3 linked regions of the Drosophila melanogaster genome follow. The protein of the gene in region 1 interacts with the protein of each later gene in a pairwise test. Each region holds a gene or a part of one and is shown in the gene's direction. Other genes may lie near its edges.

Evidence for each region.
Region 2: the proteins of CG8321 (region 1) and CG30184 interact in a two-hybrid assay, tested with the Drosophila melanogaster proteins (one large-scale study listed by BioGRID).
Region 3: the proteins of CG8321 (region 1) and Targ interact in a two-hybrid assay, tested with the Drosophila melanogaster proteins (one large-scale study listed by BioGRID).

The regions. Positions count from the first base shown.
Region 1 is NT_033778.4:12,030,724-12,037,976, forward strand, and holds CG8321 (uncharacterized protein), read left to right. Parts: upstream 1-3,222; 5' UTR 3,223-3,411; coding exon 3,412-3,709; intron 3,710-4,764; coding exon 4,765-4,987; intron 4,988-5,052; coding exon 5,053-5,155; 3' UTR 5,156-5,505; downstream 5,506-7,253. Other genes in the region: pds5 (precocious dissociation of sisters 5), read left to right, coding at 1-10, 68-161, 224-1,069, 1,135-1,271, 1,333-1,412, 1,474-1,739, 1,812-2,102, 2,166-2,258; CG43191 (uncharacterized protein), read right to left, coding at 5,506-5,660, 5,716-5,844, 5,954-6,364, 6,430-6,442; 128up (upstream of RpIII128), read left to right, coding at 6,700-6,741, 6,874-6,994, 7,048-7,253.
Region 2 is NT_033778.4:23,561,975-23,567,738, forward strand, and holds CG30184 (uncharacterized protein), read left to right. Parts: upstream 1-1,998; 5' UTR 1,999-2,104; coding exon 2,105-2,776; 3' UTR 2,777-2,806; downstream 2,807-5,764. Other genes in the region: Pi3K59F (phosphatidylinositol 3-kinase 59F), read left to right, coding at 1-553, 625-898, 973-1,334, 1,393-1,838.
Region 3 is NT_033778.4:14,665,186-14,673,009, forward strand, and holds Targ (tarag), read left to right. Parts: upstream 1-3,205; 5' UTR 3,206-3,230; coding exon 3,231-3,253; intron 3,254-3,262; exon of another isoform or gene 3,263-3,313; coding exon 3,314-3,915; intron 3,916-4,082; coding exon 4,083-4,333; coding exon of another isoform or gene 4,334-4,337; intron 4,338-4,401; coding exon 4,402-4,738; intron 4,739-4,788; coding exon 4,789-5,405; intron 5,406-5,466; coding exon 5,467-5,959; intron 5,960-6,023; coding exon 6,024-6,280; 3' UTR 6,281-6,490; downstream 6,491-7,824. Other genes in the region: CG12861 (uncharacterized protein), read right to left, coding at 1-63; CG12860 (uncharacterized protein), read right to left, coding at 556-1,506; mspo (M-spondin), read right to left, coding at 7,182-7,200, 7,469-7,824.

The DNA.
Region 1 (7,253 bases):
TACTTATTAGGTAAATTGCTTTTAAGTGCCCTTTTGCCAGACTTAATCCGGTAATCTTTTTGCTCAGCCTAATTGAACAATGCATCGAGAAAGGGTCCATGTGTGAAGAGATCGGAATTTCGGCTCAGGAAGCGGGCGAGCGCGGACTCAAGTTGTTGGCCGTGAGTATAGAGATAATTTAAGTTATGATACAGAAATCCATTTGATTGCTTTATACTTGCAGATGCTTTCATACGTCTTTTCGGCTCATTTCTTCACCGATACTTCGCTGCGTCATTTAATTTCCCTGCTCAGTTACGAGCAGGATTATGTTGCACCACTGGTGCTAAAGACACTAACTCATCTGGGGCGCTATCAGCCACTCATTGACGACCCTACACCGGCTATTCTCGACGAGCTGGCTCCGGTGTGCAAGGACTTCGCACTTATTGGAACCCCCAAGCAAGCAAAGCACGCGGTGCGATGTATTTTCGTAAACAGCCAGTCGTCGGCTTCCACTGATGGAGCAACAAGTGGAGCTGGAAGTGCGTCCACAACTACACAAACAGTGCATCCTATTTTCAACGAGATCATCGAGACGCTTCGCCTAAAACTGACACCAAACTGTGAGCATCAGCGCACAAAGATTGTGACCTTGGGTCACATTGCCTACAATATGCCACAGGCCTTCCTAACGCCCATTAAGAATATGATTGCGCGACGAATTGTCAAAGAGCTGCTTATCCAAGAAGTTCCTGCGCAGCGAGACTACGAACTGCCAGAGGACAGTGATTGGTGTGCCCAAGAGAAACTACCGCCGGACACTCTATGTAAGCTGGATGCGCTCAAGGCTATGGCCAGGTGGCTTTTGGGATTGCGTACCGATGAGCACGCTGCCCAGAAAACATTCCGAATGCTGGCGGCGTTTGTTAACCAACGAGGCGATTTGCTCGGCCAGAACCGTCTTTGCGGTGCCGAGAAATCTTGGCTGCGCCTCGGGGCAGCCTGCGCCATGCTCAAAGTGTGCGAACAAAAGGGCGTAGGTGATCAGTACAGCGCTGAGCAGTATTTGCAGCTTTCCCAGCTGATGGTGAGTAGAGACATTCATCTTGTGCTTAGAACTTAGTCTCAATGTCTATCTCGGTGTTCCCGTAGGCTGATCCGGTGCCAGAAGTTCGGGAAATCTTTGCTCGCAAGCTGCACAAAGGATTAAGCAGAAGTTTGCCCAGGAACTGTTTGCCGCTGGACTTCATGGGCTTGTATGTGCTGGCTGGTCTAGAGACTGAGAGGAAGTGAGTAGTTCAAGAAACCATCCGATCCGTTCGGAGAAGTATTGATAAATATTTTCAACAGATTGCAAGACCTTGTGCGTCACTATGCAGAAACGGATGTAAACAAACGGCGGGAATATCTCAAGACTGTGGCTATGACATGTAGGTGTTTTACTTTTGGAATCATATTGTGTATTTTAACCATTAAATCAAATTATTCCAGCTCCCGACAGCTCAACGGAGTCACAATCATTACACATACTACCTGACTACATGCTGGCTTTCGCTATTCCCGTGCTGGTCCACGATCCACGCTTCACGAATCACGAGGACTACGTACAGCTGCGCAAGATGGAGAAGTGCCTGCGTTTCATTCTGGAGCCGCTGATGGCCAAACGAGAAACGTTTGTCCATAGCTTCTACAAGCAGCTGCTGCAGCTGATAAAGCATCGCGAGTTCAGTCTGGGGTCGGACAAGCGCGACAACTATGTATGTCACTCAATCATTTTCCCAGGCTTTCCCTTCTAAATTATATTTATACATATATTTTTCGGTTATCAGAAAATGTGGGCGCTCTGCGATCTTGCCATGTACATTATCGACTCCAAGTTCAGTCCATTTGATGGCAACACGAGCACCTTTTCCATGCCGCTGGCTTTGCCAGAAATGTATTATAAAGAGCCTGCCGTTGCGAATTTCCAAAACAATGACGTCTATATACCGCTGGACGTGTATACGCTGGGAGCCAAATCCACGAGCAAAGCTGCCGCAACAGCAATGACAACGTCGCGAGCAGCAGTGGCTCCAAAGAGACCGGCGGAACAGTCAATCATGGATGATGAAAATCCGCAGGTGAGTGAGGTCCTTGGAAAATACTGAGAATGAATCTAACTAGTGTGTGAAATTTGATTTCAGGAGAACAATCTGTTCGACAACATACGAGCGGCTGACACTACGGAGCCCATGGCCAAACGAACGCGCGCAGGAGCCGCTTCAGCCAAATCATAGGGGCTGGGATGGCGCAGATTGGAGGTGGAGAGAGCGCATACTTGTTAGTTTAGTTATGTTTAGTCTAGGCGCCTAAGTTAACTAAATATTTAAGACGTAGGAAAGACCACGATAGTTGTTAAACCGACACTACCTTTATCCACACCATGCAACTCACAACTAAGCACCCAGAATTCGGATTGTTCAGTTTCGCATTCAGTATGTACTATATCAATTTTGTGAGATACACCAAAAACACAAACATCAAAAAAAGAAAAACGAAAAAAGTGTCGAAAAATCTGTTAACCGCAACTCTGTAAAAGTAATTATTTATCATTTAAAATGTTTTATCCTGTTCTTTTATAGTGTTTGATTTATTGATTGATTTTACCATTATTCTTAGACTATTGTATATCGAATAAAAAAAGGAAAGTATATCGCGCATAAGTTAAAGTACGAAGTAAAGTAATGAAAACGTAAACAGAGCCTTATTAAGTAATTAAAATTAACTTTTCTATGATCGCAGTTAATTTTTAGTTAATGTAACATCATCATAATACATACAATTGTCTCGTTAAATTCAACAAGTATGCATTCAAAATGCATTCAAAAAGAAAACCTAAAAGCGTAAGAATTGGAAAGAAAACTACAAAGATAAAAATAAAATGAATACACACATTAAACTATAAAACATGTACATTAAACAATTATTATGGTTTTTAAATTACAAATAAACGTATGATTATTATTTAAATGTTAAAATGGATATCGAAAATGGGCTTTTAGTTTAAATTATTAAAATGTTGTACTTTTTTAATATAAAGTAAGTTTAAAAAATGGCTAAAATATAATTTTTGTTTCTAACTTTTTTCTTTTCAATTTCAAAGTCGCTCTTAGGAGGGCTAAAACTAATTTGAATATTGATAACAAATGAACTATCGATAAGAGGCCGTCGATAGTTCACGGTGCAACATCAACTCTCCCATCACTAGTTCCAATTGCATTTTCTGCGTTGTTTTTTTTCGGGGGTGTGACGTTTTTCTTGTTGTTTTTGTGCTATTGTGAAATAAACCAAACAATTGTCGAGTTAAATAGACACTGATTGTTGTTTTGCCGCGCAGTTCGAACAACGAAAACTAATTCCAAACAAAGCTTACGCCGGCAAAACCACGAAATGCAGGTGGAACCAGCCGAAGTCGGCTGTGACGTCACGCATCGCCAGCAGGAGAAAAACAAAACCAATGGGATTTTCTCAACGGCAGTCAGAAGTAAAAAAAACGGGCAACCGAACGGACGGATCTACACCTCCACGCCGAAGACCTCGCATCCGAAACTTGAGCACTACGTAGGTGTTGCTAAACCCTCGGAAAAGGGGCGAGTGGGAGTGGTGACCGCCCTCGATCCGCTGATCAAAAAGGTGGCCCTTCTCTTTGGGACTCTTATCATTGGCTACAAAAGCGTCATCTTAACGAGTAAGTGTGCCAAGCTGGGGGCTAAACGTAAATATATTGTGGGTTTATTGGATTTCCATTTGTTTATTTCTGTATATCCCCGGTGTGGCGGGGGTGGGAATTCAAGGTTGCAATTGTCGGTTGCGTCGTCTTTACTCGCACTTTGTTTATATTCTCGCGTTTATAAATAGTTGAAGTTCGTGTGATCTCATAGCGGTGGTGTTTGTTCCCCCTGCATAAGCCGCCGAATAGCGAAAAAACGTCTATATAAGGAAGGCAAATTGTTTGATGCGCATTAGCCGTCTCATTTGCATACAAACGTACTGAAGACCTTAGAAAAATCGTCAAAGAGTGATTAGTTGCTTCATCTTTGAGGCAAAATGCCATTAGTTAGTTAATTGTTTGCCCAGCGGCTATTAGTTATTCATCTACGCTTAGCTTAACGGTATTTAGCACTGGGCTTTCGTCACGCGACACATACATGTATATTCTAATGTATGTAATATAAACATTAGAAGGTACCGCTAGAAGGCCCAGGAAAATAACGAATTTTACATTTCTGACGATATAGCAATCTTTATTTGCTGCAGGTTTTGCATTAGGGTGGCTCCAAAAAAAGTGCGACAAAAAATTTAATAAAGTTTAACAAAGCTCAAAGAAAAAACACATGTTTAATCAACTATTTGTTAAATAATTCAAACATATAAATTTGATATAAGCAGAAAACAAATTTTATACATTGTCGAGAAAAGAAATAATTAAACCAATACAAACGAATATTTATTTCCAATCTTTCCCATCGGTCCAAATCTATAAAAAGCGCAACCTTGCTATTTATGGTGTAACGAATGGGGTTTCTGTACATTTTTGCAAATTTCTTTGCCCACTAATTCTTTCCATTTAGCCAAATTGCTTTGATTCCCTCATAGCGTACATATCTGACTAATAAATTTGAACCACCCTAGTTATAAACCCAACATTTTGACGTGTTTATCACGCTAGGACTGATAACAGTGAAATCAATAGAACGACACTCAAAATGAGATACTAACGAGCTTTGGGCGTTCTCTTTGCAGTGCCATACATCACGGGCGATTCCATCCAGGTGCTGAGCCACCAGGTGCAGAGTAGGTGGAACGAGACCTTGGTGTGGGCCACCAGGCACCAGCTGGGCTCCAGGCTGAGTCCCCTGCTGTGTGGCCTTCTAGTGGCAGCTTTCGCGTACGGAATCGTGTACTTGGACAGCGCGGTGCCCGGCGTAAATCCCCCCTCGCCCTTTACGCCGCGTTCCAAGAAACGGTAAGCTCTGGGGAAATCACCTTTAATTATTCATTATAACATGGAGTCTTTACTTCAATTTGCAGTTTCCGCGAGGAGAAGACTGCCTCGATGCACTTGGGCTACTTGTGCGCCCTGTTCTGCGGATTTCTGGTCACGGTCTTCATGTACTTCGACTTGTACTCGTAGAACTGAATACCCATTTCCTTCCAATTAGTTCAATAAGTTCACCAGTATTAGACTTTATACGCCCACTTCGGAATTTGTATTTGTTGTAGTCCTTGAAACTGTGCAATGCTCCTGGAGAGAATCGTCAGGGGGCATTTTGAAGCTAACTTATTTCCTAGGTATATTAATTATAAGTTACTAACTCTATAAATTATTCATGATTTGTAAACTACAAAAGTACAAAATGAAACATTTCACTGTTGATTGGAGGCCAGGATCGAAAAGCTTAGGCTAGCATATTTATACCTTGTGAAAAGTACACTATCGCCTGGCCTAAAAATCTCAAGAAAACTGTATCCTTAAAAAATAAATTACTTTTGCATAGTGTTTTGCAATAAAATATACGAGGTAACATTTTCAATGCGCAGAAATTGCTGTTGCCAGTCAATGTCGCTTACCTGGTCAATCTTAAATGTTTTCAAGCGATTTTCGCCAATAAACTGGCCCACGAGATGGACAAAGCAGCCTTTTAATGAATAAAACTTTGGTTATGTAATGGTTATCAGTTTCCTGCATTTTACCTGGGCTCCAAGTACTCATAACGCCTTCGAAATCGTAGTAAATTCCCTGAAGGACGGGCCCCGATTCTTTGTTTCGCACGAGCAAGGTGTGTTCTCCACGTTTTCCCACAATGATCCGTAGCAATTTTCCTGAAAAACGATAATTAATGATTTAACTTGCCAAATTTAGCGATATTAATCATTCTGTTTAAAATGTATATAGTAATTTGATTTTGAATGTATTTCAGTTCAGACCCACCGTAAACATTCCAAATAGCATTAATTTCCGGATACATTTTTTGAGTTTTAAGGCAGAAATCCACGCGACCAATTAAACTAATTAAGTTTCGTCCTGGCTTCAACATCGGGGAGCTTGGCAACTCCGCTGATTCCTTTTTGGCTGACATTTCGCAACTGGATTTTTCCAGAATAATCGGTGATGGAACGTTCTCCTTTTTGGGCTGAACTTTCACAGCTTCCTCCACGAATCCATCGTATATTAGCTTATTATCCTTACGACAGACAGTTAGTTTTGTTTGCCGCAATTGGGTGCTATTTTTGCGCAAAAGTTCAGCGGCCGTTGGAAAACTGCGATTCAATTGCGAGACGTTGTTGGTCAGTTGGCTCTTAAATTGAGCTTGGTTGTTACCCAGAGGGGTGCGCGGTTTAACTGAAACAATGTTAATTTTTTGTTAATTTATAAATAGTTCTCAGTATTTAATTGCGGAACTTAACCTTTAGCAAACATTCTTGCAGCCATCAAATTGTAACGGCTATATTCCAATCAGCCTGACCATTTTAATTTTGTCTAAGAATACTTTTACGATTCGTTAAGTGTTGGCTAACGTTGGGAATCGACCACATTACTGAACAAATCGATTGTATCGAATACATATCGATTGCACCTCCAACTGTCCACGCGAGAGTTTTATATATTTTATTTTTACATGCATATTTGTTGATAACTGGGGTTTTCTGTGAACCGCGTTTAACTCTCAGCCAGCCATGAGCACAATATTGGAGAAAATCTCGGCCATCGAGTCGGAGGTGAGTGGAACTTGGAGTACCTGCCGATCTTACAGAAACTAACCTGTCTCGCATCCATTTACCCCGCGGATTCCCCCCTGGATTCTATCTAAATCACCGGGTTGTTGGACCACCTTCTCAACTGAATCCTAGATGGCCCGAACCCAAAAGAACAAGGCCACCTCGGCCCATTTGGGTCTACTGAAGGCGAAGCTGGCTAAGCTGCGACGCGAACTGATTTCCCCCAAAGGAGGCGGCGGCGGAACCGGCGAAGGTAGGCTCTTGGATATATAATTCAGGCAATCACTAAACATTATGTATTTCCAGCTGGCTTCGAGGTGGCCAAGACTGGAGATGCCCGGGTGGGATTCGTAGGGTTTCCTTCTGTGGGTAAATCCACACTGCTCTCCAACTTGGCTGGCGTTTACTCCGAGGTGGCGGCATACGAATTCACAACGTTGACCACTGTGCCGGGATGCATTAAGTACAAGGGCGCTAAGATCCAGCTGCTGGACTTGCCCGGTATCATTGAG
Region 2 (5,764 bases), about 12 Mb from region 1:
AAGTACGAGGATCCGCGGCACATTGTCCACCTGCATGGCTGCATCTTTCCCGAGCGCGATGTGGTGCGGTCCATCCTGGACGACAACGGCTCTCTGCTGGACCAGAGCAGCCTATCGGATCTGAGCGCCACGAGCAGTGGACTCCACGGCTCGGTCATTCCGGCCAATCAGCGAGCGGCCAGTGTTTTGGCCGCCATCAAGAGCGATAAGTCAGTGAGTCCCGGTTCAGCGGGTGGCAGTGGCAGTGGTGGTCAGGGATCGGTTGCGCTGCCAAACCCCTCTGCTCCCGCCACTCCGGGCAGCAGCTCGTTGCCCTGCGACTCAAACTCCAATGCCCTAATGCTGGCCGAGGGCATCAGCTTCGGCAGTGTTCCAGCCAATCTCTGCACATTCCTGATCCAGCGCGCTTGCACGAACGCCACGCTGGCCAACTACTTCTACTGGTACTTGTCCATCGAGGTGGAGGAAGTGGAGTCGGTGAGGAAGCAGGACGAGAGGGCCCACGACATGTACGCCATGGTGCTCAAGATGTTTCTGAAGGTGCTAGAGAACGGTGGGTGTAATTTAACGAAATCATGGCTCATTCTCTAATTCCCTAATTCTCTAATCCGCTCATCCGCACAGGCAACTTCAACCTGAGAGGCATCTTCTACAACCTCCGGAAGCAGCGGCGCTTCATCGACGAGCTGGTCAAACTGGTGAAACTGGTGGCCAAGGAGCCGGGAAATCGCAATAAGAAGACTGAGAAGTTCCAGAAACTGTTGGCCGAACAGGACATGTTCAAGGTGAACTTCACCAACTTCGAGCCCATTCCGTTTCCCCTGGATCCGGAGATCTACATCACCAAGATCGTGCCCATGCGCACATCGCTCTTCAAGAGCGCCCTGATGCCAGCCAAGTACGCCATGACCAACCAACAAACTCTACTCACTCACTGAATACTTCAATCCTAATCCTTAATCCTATTCGCAGGCTCACCTTTGTCACTTCGATTGCCCATCACGAGTACGCGGCCATTTTCAAGCACGGTGATGATCTGCGCCAGGATCAGCTCATCCTGCAGATGATAACTTTGATGGACAAGCTGCTGAGGCGCGAGAACCTCGACCTGAAGCTGACTCCCTACAAAGTGCTGGCCACCAGCTCCAAGCACGGCTTCCTCCAGTACGTCGACTCCTGCACCGTGGCGGAGGTGCTGGCGCGGGAGGGCAACATCCACAACTTCTTCCGCAAGCATCATCCGTGCGACAATGGACCCTACGGCATTTCGGCGGAGGTCATGGACACCTACATCAAGAGCTGCGCGGGCTACTGTGTGATCACCTATTTGCTGGGTGAGACTAAAGGAGTGTAACCAGGTGGATTCCGCTAATCCTTGGAATTTCCTCGCAGGTGTGGGCGACCGGCACTTGGACAACCTCTTGCTGACCACCAACGGCAAGCTCTTCCACATCGATTTCGGCTACATTCTGGGACGCGATCCCAAGCCCATGCCGCCGCCAATGAAGCTGAGCAAGGAAATGGTGGAGGCCATGGGCGGCATCAGCTCCGAGCATCACCACGAGTTCCGCAAGCAGTGCTACACGGCGTACCTGCACTTGCGGCGGCATGCCAACGTGATGCTCAACCTGTTCTCTCTGATGGTGGACGCCACTGTGCCGGATATCGCTCTCGAGCCCGACAAGGCGGTCAAGAAGGTGGAGGAGAACCTGCAGCTGGGCCTCACAGACGAGGAGGCAGTGCAGCACTTGCAGAGCCTCCTGGACGTGTCCATTACGGCGGTGATGCCGGCTCTGGTGGAGCAGATTCATCGGTTCACCCAATACTGGCGGAAGTAGAGGACATTGCTTGCACAAGAAATTGTGGGAGGAGCGAGTAATCCTAGTTCGGTTCAGCTGAGTTGTTTAACATCAAAAGTGTACATTAGATTAATACCTTATACTTATCAATACTTATTAATATTATTTATCCTTTAAATCCTAGTCGTAAGTTTGCTTTAGTCGTAGGTGGCCTGTAGCTAAAAGTCCGTTGTGCGGAACCAAATGTATCCACATATACTATATATCTTGTCACAATTGTAGTATAACCATTTAATCGGGCAAACATGCAGGTGCGCTCCAAGAAGCCCGTTTGGTTCCTGTTCAAGATGATGGAGCTGCTGCTGAGCCTGGGCTGCTGCCTCGTCCATTGGACCTGCTTCATGGAGGAGGGTGTGCCGCACATCTTCCTGCTGTGCGGAACGTACGGCGGCTCGGTGATCATATGCTTCATATCACTGATTGGAGCTTTCTACGCCGAGCGGCCGACGATGAAGCACGAGGCGCTGTTCGGTGGGATCTTGGGTGGCCTGCACATGGTCACCGTGTACGCCAACATGTATGTGGCCACTTTGGAGGAGTTCCGCACTGAGCGCTGGCCCAGCTTCTATGCGTGCTGTCGGGACAACGCCATTGTGGCTCTGTACGCCGGCGCCATTTATCTGATGCACTGCACCTTCGCTCTGGATCTCATGTTCTCCCACTCACGCAGTCGGGCGAATCAGAAGATGCATCCACAGCGGAGCAAGCGACCACTGCAGCTGTACTTCATCAGCCGGGGCGCGGAGGCCTATCTCAGTCGCTTCTGGTTCTTTCGGCGCATCGCCGCCAGGATGCTGACCAGCGCCCAGCCATCGGAGCATTCCGGCCGGAAGCGGCAGGTCTCGTCCTCCGAGTCGGACTCGGATGCCAAGGAGAGGGAGGAGGAGCGGATTAGGAACTCGGAGGTTTTCAAATAGCTCAAGTAATTAAATATTAACGTTCACCTGCTCGTGTGCTCACTGTAGTTGTGCCTTTTGAAAGCCCGCTGCTGTGCAGCCCTGGCGCCATCAGCTGTTCGCCGCATAACAGCCCCGTCTCTTGGAGCGCGCGCACTTTGACAGCTGTTCGTTTACAGTTCCTTTGGTTCTTGGAAGTTTGTTTGGCGCGCCGCGTGTGATTTTCGTTACTTTTGCCGGAATTGTGTCGATTTTGTGGATTTTTGCATTGGTTTAAGCCTGCGGAGGAGTCCAGCTTTAATGACGATGGCGAACGGTGCGGTGAGTTGCGGGGGGAACGCACTGCGTCGTCCACTTCGCCATTGTGCGGATGCATGGCTGGAAATTTCTGTCTGCAAACTTTTCCGATTTTCATAGTTCGATGCGTGGTGGAAACTTCTGCGGGCGGCGCTCGAGCTCTGGGTCTGTGTGCCTGTGGTTTTAGTTAGTTGCAGGTACTCGTTGCTAAAACTTTTGCTAAAAGTTAGCCGTTGCCACTAAAGTTGCCGCCCGAGGCAACACAAACAAACGAAAAAAAACGAAAAAAAACGGGACTAGCACACTCGCGGCCATGTGCATATGAACACTTAGACGCCGTGCCAAAACGAAAGGCACAGTGGGCCTTGGCTAACTCTGAAGATTGGAATTCTTCCCTTCAAGAAATTCCAATTTCTAGGACTTTCCCAATTTCCATTCTGACTTTGGAAGAGGCGGAAAACTGAGTGTGTAATCATCATTTCCCGTTTTCGCCTTTACAATTCACTCGATCTGTGCAATGTTGTATAGTAGCAGCAGCAACAGGAATCTCTTATCGGGAGCACTATGCCACATGCCACTCTTCCCGAAGAGAGCCCACTGCAGCTGCGAGTGCGAGTGAGTGGGTGGGTGTGCTACTGGCGAGCGAGCGAGCGAGCATGACTCACCGCTGCCAACTGCACTCAACTTGGCCTTTGTTATTGTCTGTGGCTGCAAGCCATCGAGCCACCGAACCACCAGGCGGCCCAGCCCCAATCCACTCCCTCCGCCCTCCGCTGCTAGCCCCAATTCCCCGGTCGTGGTCCTTCGAGCCGGTCCAAATGCAGCACGTGTTCCATTCGGTGTGCAAAGTCAGTTGGAATGCCAAGCTGGAGTTATGTGTGCGCACTTGGGGTTGTGTGGGTGTGTGTGGAAAGCGTGTGCATCTGAAAGATACATTTTCTAGATCGCAGCATGTTTGGTTTAGTTGGCAGCTAAATTTCACTACGTGCAGTTTGCGGTGGGTGTTGGGCCCAAAGTCTCGGAATTTCAACTATGTTTCGCAACAATTTAGCCGGCTGGTGATAACGATAAAACGGCGAGTTTCCGAGTCGATTGAGTGAATAAGATTAATCGTTATGGTGATGAGTTCGTTACGATGAGATACAAAGGCTGAGATAATTAGAGCAAAAATAGGTGATTCATACATACATATGTAAGTTAGCTAACTTACTTGAAGTCAATGCATGCAGAATTGTCATTGTTTGTTGAACTTATCATATGGAAATAGTAGTAATTGTGGTTGAATCTTAGCTGGCAGCACGTTCCATTAATTGGTAATCGCTTTTGGCTTTTGGCGCACTCTTTTCGTTTCGCCTCATTTCGGATTCGTGGAACCCAAAGGTGGTTCGTCTATAATTTCACAATCGACCCATGGGTGGTGCACCATTGTAATTGAAGTCTTAACTCCGACTTCCTATGTGCAGTCGCTTTTAGCTGGAACTTTTCGGGCCGTCGACGAACCCAACTCCCTAAACGAAGGTTCCCATCGTAGCACCGGAGCCCCGTAAGCCCCCATCTCGGGTTTTGGCCCCAAAAACGCTGTGTACGTGCCGCTAGTTCAGCTCCATAGATTGTCCGGTGGTAATCAGTTTACGCTGACGACGTTTGCTACCACTTTCCACCGCCACCCCTCTGGCCACGCCCCTGATCATGCAGATACAGCTGGGGTCAGCCAACTAGGCGAAATGGTATAGGAACATACTTGAAATATGATTGTTACTAGCGTATTTCAGATTCAACAACTTAGTATTTGTGCTTCTACTCCATTGTTCAAACCCAATGTGGTTACTATATGATGGCCCTATAATGCTGACCCCGTCTGTGGCGCATTCATATTCAAATCCAAGTGCAAGTCGTGTAGCTACATGCGAAACTCTGTGTAAACCGAAGTGGCTCTCATTTATTTTTCGTTCAATTCTATTTCGCTGCCGTTCGTTTTTCATGAACCGATACTAACACGAGTGCTACTATTTCAGTTGGTTACTAAACATTTAGTGCCCCCCATACTCCCCACTACCCCTCCCCCTGCCCCTGCGGATAGCCCCGCGAGCATCGAGCGCAGCGGGCTGACTAAGCGAACGAGCTGAGCGAACGGCGGCGGACGAAATGTCGCGCCATATTAACCATATTGCGCGGTGCCAAAAGGGGGAAGGCTTTGCATACTGCCCATGCCCATGCCCATGCCCCAGTATGTGGGGCTCCCTATCCCCTCGTTCCTGCCTCCTGCCTCCGTCCTGCCCCTCGCATCTGCCCGCATCTGTCGCCTGGCAGTTAGCTGCAGTTGCTCCATTTGTTTGTTTGTATTCGCCTGCCAGCCGGCAAGCAAGTACAGTGAAGCCTTGCTAGCCTGACAATATTGTGTCTGTAGGATCTACCTTTGGTGTTGCATACTTACAAGTGGCGGTTAAAATTGAAATGTTTTAAGATTACATTCGATACGGATTAGTCCATTATGAGGCTCCACTGTTCGCATTAGTTTTGTTGGAGTGTGGCGCTGTGTTTTCGCTACAGTTGTTGTTGTCCACAACGTGATAAAAACTTTAAACATTGAATTGTGATACTTCGTCACTTGGTTGTAAATTGAAATAAGACTACCTTCCAACTTCCCGCACCACCAAGTGCCACCAAGTGCAGCCCAAGAATACCCCATCCCTCCCCAACCCGCACCCCACA
Region 3 (7,824 bases), 2.6 Mb from region 1:
CGTCAGCGATCCCAAGCTGTGCTGCATCAACAGCGTTCGTTGCACTGTCTGCAACACCCCCATTCTAACTGAATTTAACTGGAATTTTGAAAGGAAACCAAAACGGAAACCTGGATTTTTGGGGAGGCTAAGGTGTTATGTGTGTTGACCACTCGAACAACTGTTTACGAATGATTCGAAAGTAATCTGAAATTGGCTAGGACAGTTGAAGTTTTGTCTTAAGGCCTACTTGATTCAAAATTTATGATTAGATCTAAGCATATGTAAATAATTAAAAATAAAATATGTGTCGAGTGCCTCAACTATCAGATACCTGTTACTGGCACTGCCAATAGGAGAAGACTCGATCTAAGTAAAGCACCTCTATTTGATAGTCCCACCTAACGGCGTATACAACAGAGACCAAAACCCCCCCATAGACTAAATGCATTAAATGTAAATATTTTGAAAGATTTATTTAACCAAAAATTTCGTATCTTTTATTACACTGTTAATTTTTATCTGCCTATTGTTGAAGCACCATGAATGGGTCCACAAATCCAAAGTGTGCCTCCTTTAACACGATTCATTGCGCGGCTTCAGAGGCTCACAGGGAAGTCGGCGGTTGAGGAGAGCGTGTCGATAGACAAGGCAAAGCGGCGGCACCTCCAGGCAGCGGCACTCGATGGGTCTGCTGGTGTTCAGCTCCTCGTGCTGGCACTCCGAGAAGCTGGGATACTGGCATGCGCGACGCCGGCATCTTGTGTGTCTTCGCACCAGTTTACAATTGTTAATGGCAGCTGCCGGCGGACACTCGCATAGCTTGATCTTGGGACAGGGGCTGGTTTTGGCCTCTTGTTTGCATGGCATGGGATTGACGGTGAAGCAAGGCGCCTTCTTCGGAGCGGAAACGCACTTTTTGGTTAACACGCGGTAAGTGCGCTCAGGAGCAACCTTGCGGCAGCAGCGTTTCTGCTTCCGGAAGAAGCACTCCACCCAGTACTGGTCGAATTCGCGGTCCAGCGATTTGCTGGGCTTGTAGTACTTGTCATCCAAACGTACGGCCAAATCACAGGGATCGGTGCAATCGGGCTCTGGCTTGTAGGGTATGTCGCAACGACCCCATACACCCAGATACTTGGGATGCAGCTCGGAGAGCTCCTTGTCGGTCTTGCACGGTTTTAGCTGCTTGTAGTATTTTGGAGCACGGACAACGGGCGGTTTGCATTCCGGCTTTTTGGCATTCTCGGACTCAAACTTCTTGCACTCCCGCTTATCTTTTTTGTTCTTCGCGCACTTATCACTGACGCCATCCGTATGAGAATGTCTTCGATCCCGGGGGGGCAAACCTACACCCTTGGGTGGGCTCTGCTCGCACTTCCTGGATTTCTTATTGGCGCACCTATCGTCCGAGTGGGCAAAGCGTCGGTCGACCTGTGACAGAGCCAGAAATTGTGACTTCACTAGTCCCTTCACCTCATTAAGAAGCTGCGGGCGAAGTATTGATGAACTTTTGGCCAGAAACATAACTAAACGGAGGTTTTGGATTGGAACCGGTGCTGTGGCAGGTTGAGAGACACGAAATTTTGGTCTGTACAGGCGAACGCTCTGCTTTGATCTGGCTAACACCAAGGTGCTGAACCAATAGTTGGCAAGAAATCTAGTCCAAGGCCGCCATGATGGGATCTATTTTATTTACATTTCAACAGCTACTTCTCTATGGATTCCAGATTTAAGTGTGTAATTCCTCGAATACTGTCGCGAATTGAGCCTTTTCCGGGCCACGGACCAAATGGGTTTTCCTTGTTTGTTCTGCAGTTAATTGCGAATGGATTCGATGCCAGCGAATTTGCAATGTCCAGCTGCCTTGATTTGCAGGCAAATAACAATAAAGAAAAAATAGGCAACGCAACCTTCACTTTACGAATTTTTGCCCCAGCTTGTTTGCAAGTTAAATGCAAACAGAGTGCAGCCAGCCAAACGACAAAGCCCAACAAAAAAAAAAAAAAATAAAACAGAACGAAAAATATACATACAAAGCTGACCCCCTGCGAAAAAAAAAACAACAGAAGTCCACTAGAATAAGTATACGCCGCGTTGGTCGCCGCTCGCTGCTTGCTGTTCTCGGGGCAGTTTTCGCTTTTACGCCGCTATTTTCATTGGAGTCACTGCCGTCCGAGAGTGGCCATGCATGAGGGCTCCCATAAAATTGGGTCAATTGCTGTTAACAATTTGGCAGCGCAATCTTTTGGCCGTTTCGATTTCAAGGCGCTCAGGGGAAAAAAAATCGAAAAATAGGAAAACACAACGTGGGCCATAAAAAACGAGCACGTACGAGCGAACCTTTTGGAAAAAAACAATTTCCGCATAGAGTTGTTGGCCAGGAAAAATAGCCGCTGCAATCGGTGCTCCCCCGCGGGAGAACAGGAAAAATCCAGGGGGGGGGGAAGGTGTAGATGAAGCTGAAGTGGCTGGTCGAAAAGTTTGCTGGCCTTTACGCTAATTAATTAGTGCACTTTGTTTGTAATTCATTTTGCAAAAGCAGGGCTGGCTTAGTTAAAGTTTCCAGGGGCGAGGTTTGTTTCATAAAGCATGGACCGACTGCCTCCAATTCAAGAGCCCGGGCATCACTTTCCATTTAATCAACTGGGGAAACAGTCGACCCCAATACTTCAGCTCTTGTTGCCTTTGAGTGACTGCCAATGAAGTTACTGCCCCTAAAGCTGAGATGCACTTTAGCCGCTCCACTCCAATCGCTCCGCTCTCCGTGCAAAACTCAGACGACTAAGGAATGATTTCATTTACTTACAATCAATGAAATTGCACTGATGCAATTTTGTTTCGGCCCCAAAATAAACAGGCAAGCGGGTGGAACGGAGCTGGGATCGGGTTGTGGCAATAGGGATTCGCCAGGCAAAAGAAGATGGCGATGGCGAGGCGATGGCTAAAAAGTAACAGTTGCAGTGGGGCAATTGCGGAGGAGGAGCAACTGGGGGTCACCAACAAGCAACTACCAACCAACTCCGTTTGTCACGCTCGCCTGGCAGCCATGACAGCATTTGGTAGCCAGGAGCAGCTAATGTCTGGCGACAGTTCCCGAATCCCACGAATCCCCATGAATTCCCGTTCCTGTTGCTGGGGCTTCTCATCTTGCAGCCAGACACGTAGCCAGCCACTGTGCATTGGGTTCGGGTCGAGACGCAGAGAGATTTGTGAAAGATGTCAGGAACACTCTGCGACAGAGTCGAAAAATGAGCAGGAATCGTAGGCGAAGGTGACTGAGTCTGTTCGCCCAGCAAAGCACTCAACTCGACCAAATCCCTCTGTTTTTCAGCTTCCCCAGCAGCCAATATGAAGATAAGACCGCCGCTGCACAGCCAAGTGGAAGTAGCTTGAGATCCCAATCTCTGTCCAGGCTGGACATCTCGGTTCAAAACTCATCCATCTATTACAATGATACGCGAAACACGCGACCACAAATGGTCAGTGTGGCCGTCGGCACAGTTTCAACGGATATCCTGAATGGGCGCACATCATTCTTGTCCCTTAGTCAGTCTCACGGGAGTGAAGTGGATTTGCCTTCGTTCTACGAAAGCTTTAATCCAACTTTTCTTCCCAAGCTGCCTATCAGAAGATTTCCCCATATGCTTGTGGGGGCATCAAATGAGCCTGAGATTTCGAAAAACCAGCCAGCAATTCCACCATCTAGGCCAATTGAGCCAATATCTGAGGTGCCGTTTGTGGAACCGGCCTTTGAGAAAAAATACTCTAGGACCCGTGGATTTAGCAAGGAATTGTCCACACACAGGGATAATGAGAATGAATATATCGAGAGCACAGATGAGGTGTCTCAGATGTTGAGCTTTACTAGCTATACGGATGAATATGATAGGGCAGAACCACTCATTACCAAAACGCAAAAGTTTTATAAAAAGAGTAAGTTATCATAGCGCTGCCTTCCTTTTTACAAAAATGTTTTTTTTTTTATTTTTATTTTATTGTCATGCAATTGAATTTTGTCTAAGCTATTTTTGGCCATTTGCTTGAAATTGAGGAACCTACCAAATGCATTTCTTGTAGCTAAAACTGTAGCCTTCTTACAGGATCCCCCTTGATTCCCAAATACGATTCCGAGGATTCATATGTGGTCCCTAAGGAAACCGATCAACAGGAATCGGGTCTCTCGTTCAATGTAACTACAGTACAGTTGGCCGATACCGCATCGCCGGAATCTTTCAGCGAATACGACGGAAATCGAACGCGCAAGCAATCGTTCGACATGGAAAGTAAAAATTCGAAGGAGTCCTTTGACTTTAGCCGTGGTGGAAGACGACTTGGCTCCGGTATGGTTTTTGTAAGTGAGTGAATAGCATTCTTGTGGTGGTGAATTGAGAAACGAATGACGACTCTTGTCATCCACAGATCTATATGGTGATACCACCGGACGGCGGATTCGGTTGGGTAATCATGGTGCTGTCCTTCCTCGCCCAGCTGATAATCGATGGTTTAATTTTTACCATTGGGGTCTTATTGCCATCCATTGCCCAGGATCTGGATGTCTCCATATCGTCGGTATCGTTTGTGGCCAGTGTCCAGATTGGTTGCTACTTCACTAGCGGAGCGTTTTCTGCTGTCCTGATAAATCGTTTTGGTTTCCGAAAGGTAGCCATCGCTGGGGTCCTGTGTTCCGCAGTTTCAATACTGGCGTCCAGTTGGAGCGTCAGCTTGACCATGCTGATCTTCTTTTACAGCGTCCTTGGTAGGTTGATTCTAGATTGCTGTACGATATTCGATGAATAATAGTACTAGCCTGCGCAGGTGGTATTACGTTGAGCATGATCTGGGCAAGTTCGCAGCTGATTGTTGGCTACTACTTTGAGCGGTACCGTCCGATGGCCAATGGATTTTCCTGCAGCGGTGGCGGTGCGGGCATAGTACTCTTCACGTTCCTCAACAGCTGGCTGGTGCCAATCATCGGATGGAGGAACATGCTGCGGACGCAGGCGGGGCTGATAATGTTGATCCTGTTGATGGTGGTCGCCTATGTGGAGGTGGCTCCCACCCAGGTGGGCATGTACCATTTACCCGGTTCTTCGGATACCAGTTCGGATGAGTATTACGGCAACTTCTACGTGCATGACTATTTACGTCAATCCGCGATGACTGCTAAAAGCCGGAGTATCCTAAGTACATATGAGCCACGCCCAAAAAAGAAAGGATGCGCCAAGTTCTGCCCCTCCTGTTCGAACTGTTGTTGGAGGCGGCGGAAGAAGTCGCAAAATGCTGATGAGCAGAATCTGCTCATCCGCCCGGCGCCCCTGGAGCGGGAGGATCTCTTCTATACGGGTCCTGCCGAATACGAAAAGCCGCACAGCAAGGAGAACGTCGACGGCAAGGAGTTCCTACTAATGGGATCGGATAAGAACGTAAGTGTTGTATTAAGAATAAATTCGCTTCAACTTAAGAACACCACCAACTTTCACTTAGACCCAGCAAGTGAACTATGGCATCAAGAACATTCGTGTGGATGATGAACCCGATAGGATTTCTAGAGTTCATAGGGAACGAAGATGGTCAAACGAGAATCAGAAAAAGCAAAATTCCTGTAGGAATAGCCGGTTTATGCTCACTGTGCTCAAACTATTCGACTACCGCCTGCTGAAACAGTTTGAGTTCAAGATTCTGGTGGCGTCCGCCTTTCTGTTCCCGATGGGCTTTAATATACCCTTTGTTTACTCGTCTGCACGAACCACGATCCCCGTCGAATATGCCCGTATGATCGGCCCCATTATCGGAATTAGTAATCTTGTGATGAGAAACATCCTTGGCATCCTCGCTTACAAAAGGCGTAGTTGGACCCTCGGACTTTGTGGTTGTGGTCTAATTTTCGGTGGTGTTTCCGTTTTGATTAGCGCCTTCTATGGAGAGAACTTGATTTGGTTCCAGTTTCTGTATGGCTTCTCCTATGCTGTAGCGCCTGGTGCGTACATTTACTTACCTTACTTAAGTTTACAATATTACCCTCTCTCATTTCCATGGAATAGCTGTTTATTCCACACTGAGAGGTTTGATATACGTGAAATACCTGGGACTTTCAAAACTGACCAACGCTTTTGGGATTACCTCATTGGCCATGGGAATGGGCGCCTTTATTGGGACTACAATTGCTGGTAAATTGATAGGCATCACGGGAAACTATTCTGCTGCCTTTTGCTTTGCGGGATTATGTCTCATAGTGTCCGGATTTCTGAAGCTTCTGCTGCCCTTGCTTATTAAATGTCGCAACAGGATGGCCCAATGAGGAATTGGACTATTGGAATTGCAATATTTATTGGTTCTCCTGCTTGGAACTTGGGATTGTCTTACAACTAATAGCTTAGGCATTTTTATGACTTTTTTTTACTGGTCCTCGTTCCAAATTCTGAGTAAATGTTTGTATATCCATGTAATTGTTAATTGACCGATGTCATTAACTATTACTTCCTCCTTATTACAGATTTATTTTCAATATAATTTCAATTCAAGTGAGTTCTTTTTGGGGTTGACTTTTATTGCAATCCATTTTAAGTTATTAGTTAGCTTAGTTTACATCTAATATTAGCTTAGTTGCTGAACAACACACTTTGGCTCCACGCTTATAGGTTCAAGTGTGCTGTGTTTGGTTTTTCATTTGGTTTTGTTTCCATTTTTCCTTGTTTGGGTATGCAAATTTTCACGCTTCTTGTTTACTTTGATTTGCTTTCTAAACTTTGTACGTCTACTGTTCAATGTTTTGTTTTTTTTTTCTTCATTTTTTATATTTTATGATGATTTTTTTACATATTATTTAGAGCTAAAGCAACGAAAAAAAAAATATAAATCAATGTGAACACATAAACATAAGAATGTTTGAATCGACATCCGCAGGACGAATGACTCCAATCCTCTGTGTCCTGTGTCTAAATCTTTCTTGTGTTTTTTAATATTGTCAGTAGTCTTCCCCATCGTCGCCTCTAATTTAATCCATTTTTAATTGAAGTCTCTGCCGTCTGCGTTAAAAACAATGTCATTTGATAATGTAAAGTTAAATTAAAATCTCCTTGCGGGATGAACCACACTCCTAACGGCCTGGCTGGTCTTTCTTGTTCACACAGAAAAAGCAATTCTTACGCCTTAAATTAAAATTATATTTATATCGCCTGTGCCTCCGCCAAGTGGATCGTTCATGTGTCGGAATCGGACCTGAAATCGAATCGGACATATATATATTTTAATTGTATATACTTGTGGGGTGAGTCAAAGAACAAAAAAATATAAAAATATCAATCTATTATGGATTTTTTGTGTTATCTATATAAAAACAAAGGACTTCCCCTTTTCGATTGTGTATATAAATTTGATGTGAAATGCGAAATTGAATTAAATTCCAATTTAATTAATATTAATGAATTGAAATTGTTTGCAGTGTAACACTAATTTGATTGAGTTTTCCGCGGCGCGGCACACTTACCAATTAAAATAGGTCTGCGACCCGTGACAGTTGCGCTCGGTGCCGCACCACTTGGACTGCTGGAGCGCCGGGCACTGTCGTCCGCCCCTCTTGCCGTGCTTTATGACCTTGCGGTAGCGATGCATCTCGCCGACGCCGCAACTTTTGCTGCAGGCCGTCCACTCGGACCAGTGGCTCACGCGGCAATCACGACGACGCTGCGCGGAGCTCCGCCTGCGGGTGGCAGCACCACCGCCCACCGCACCACCGGCCTTGCCACCACCAATCGCGGATGGTGTCGGTTTGGAGGCGTTTGCATCGCTGGCATCTGCGGCACGCCGATAGCTGCTGGCGATGCTCTGCAGGATCGCATGCTT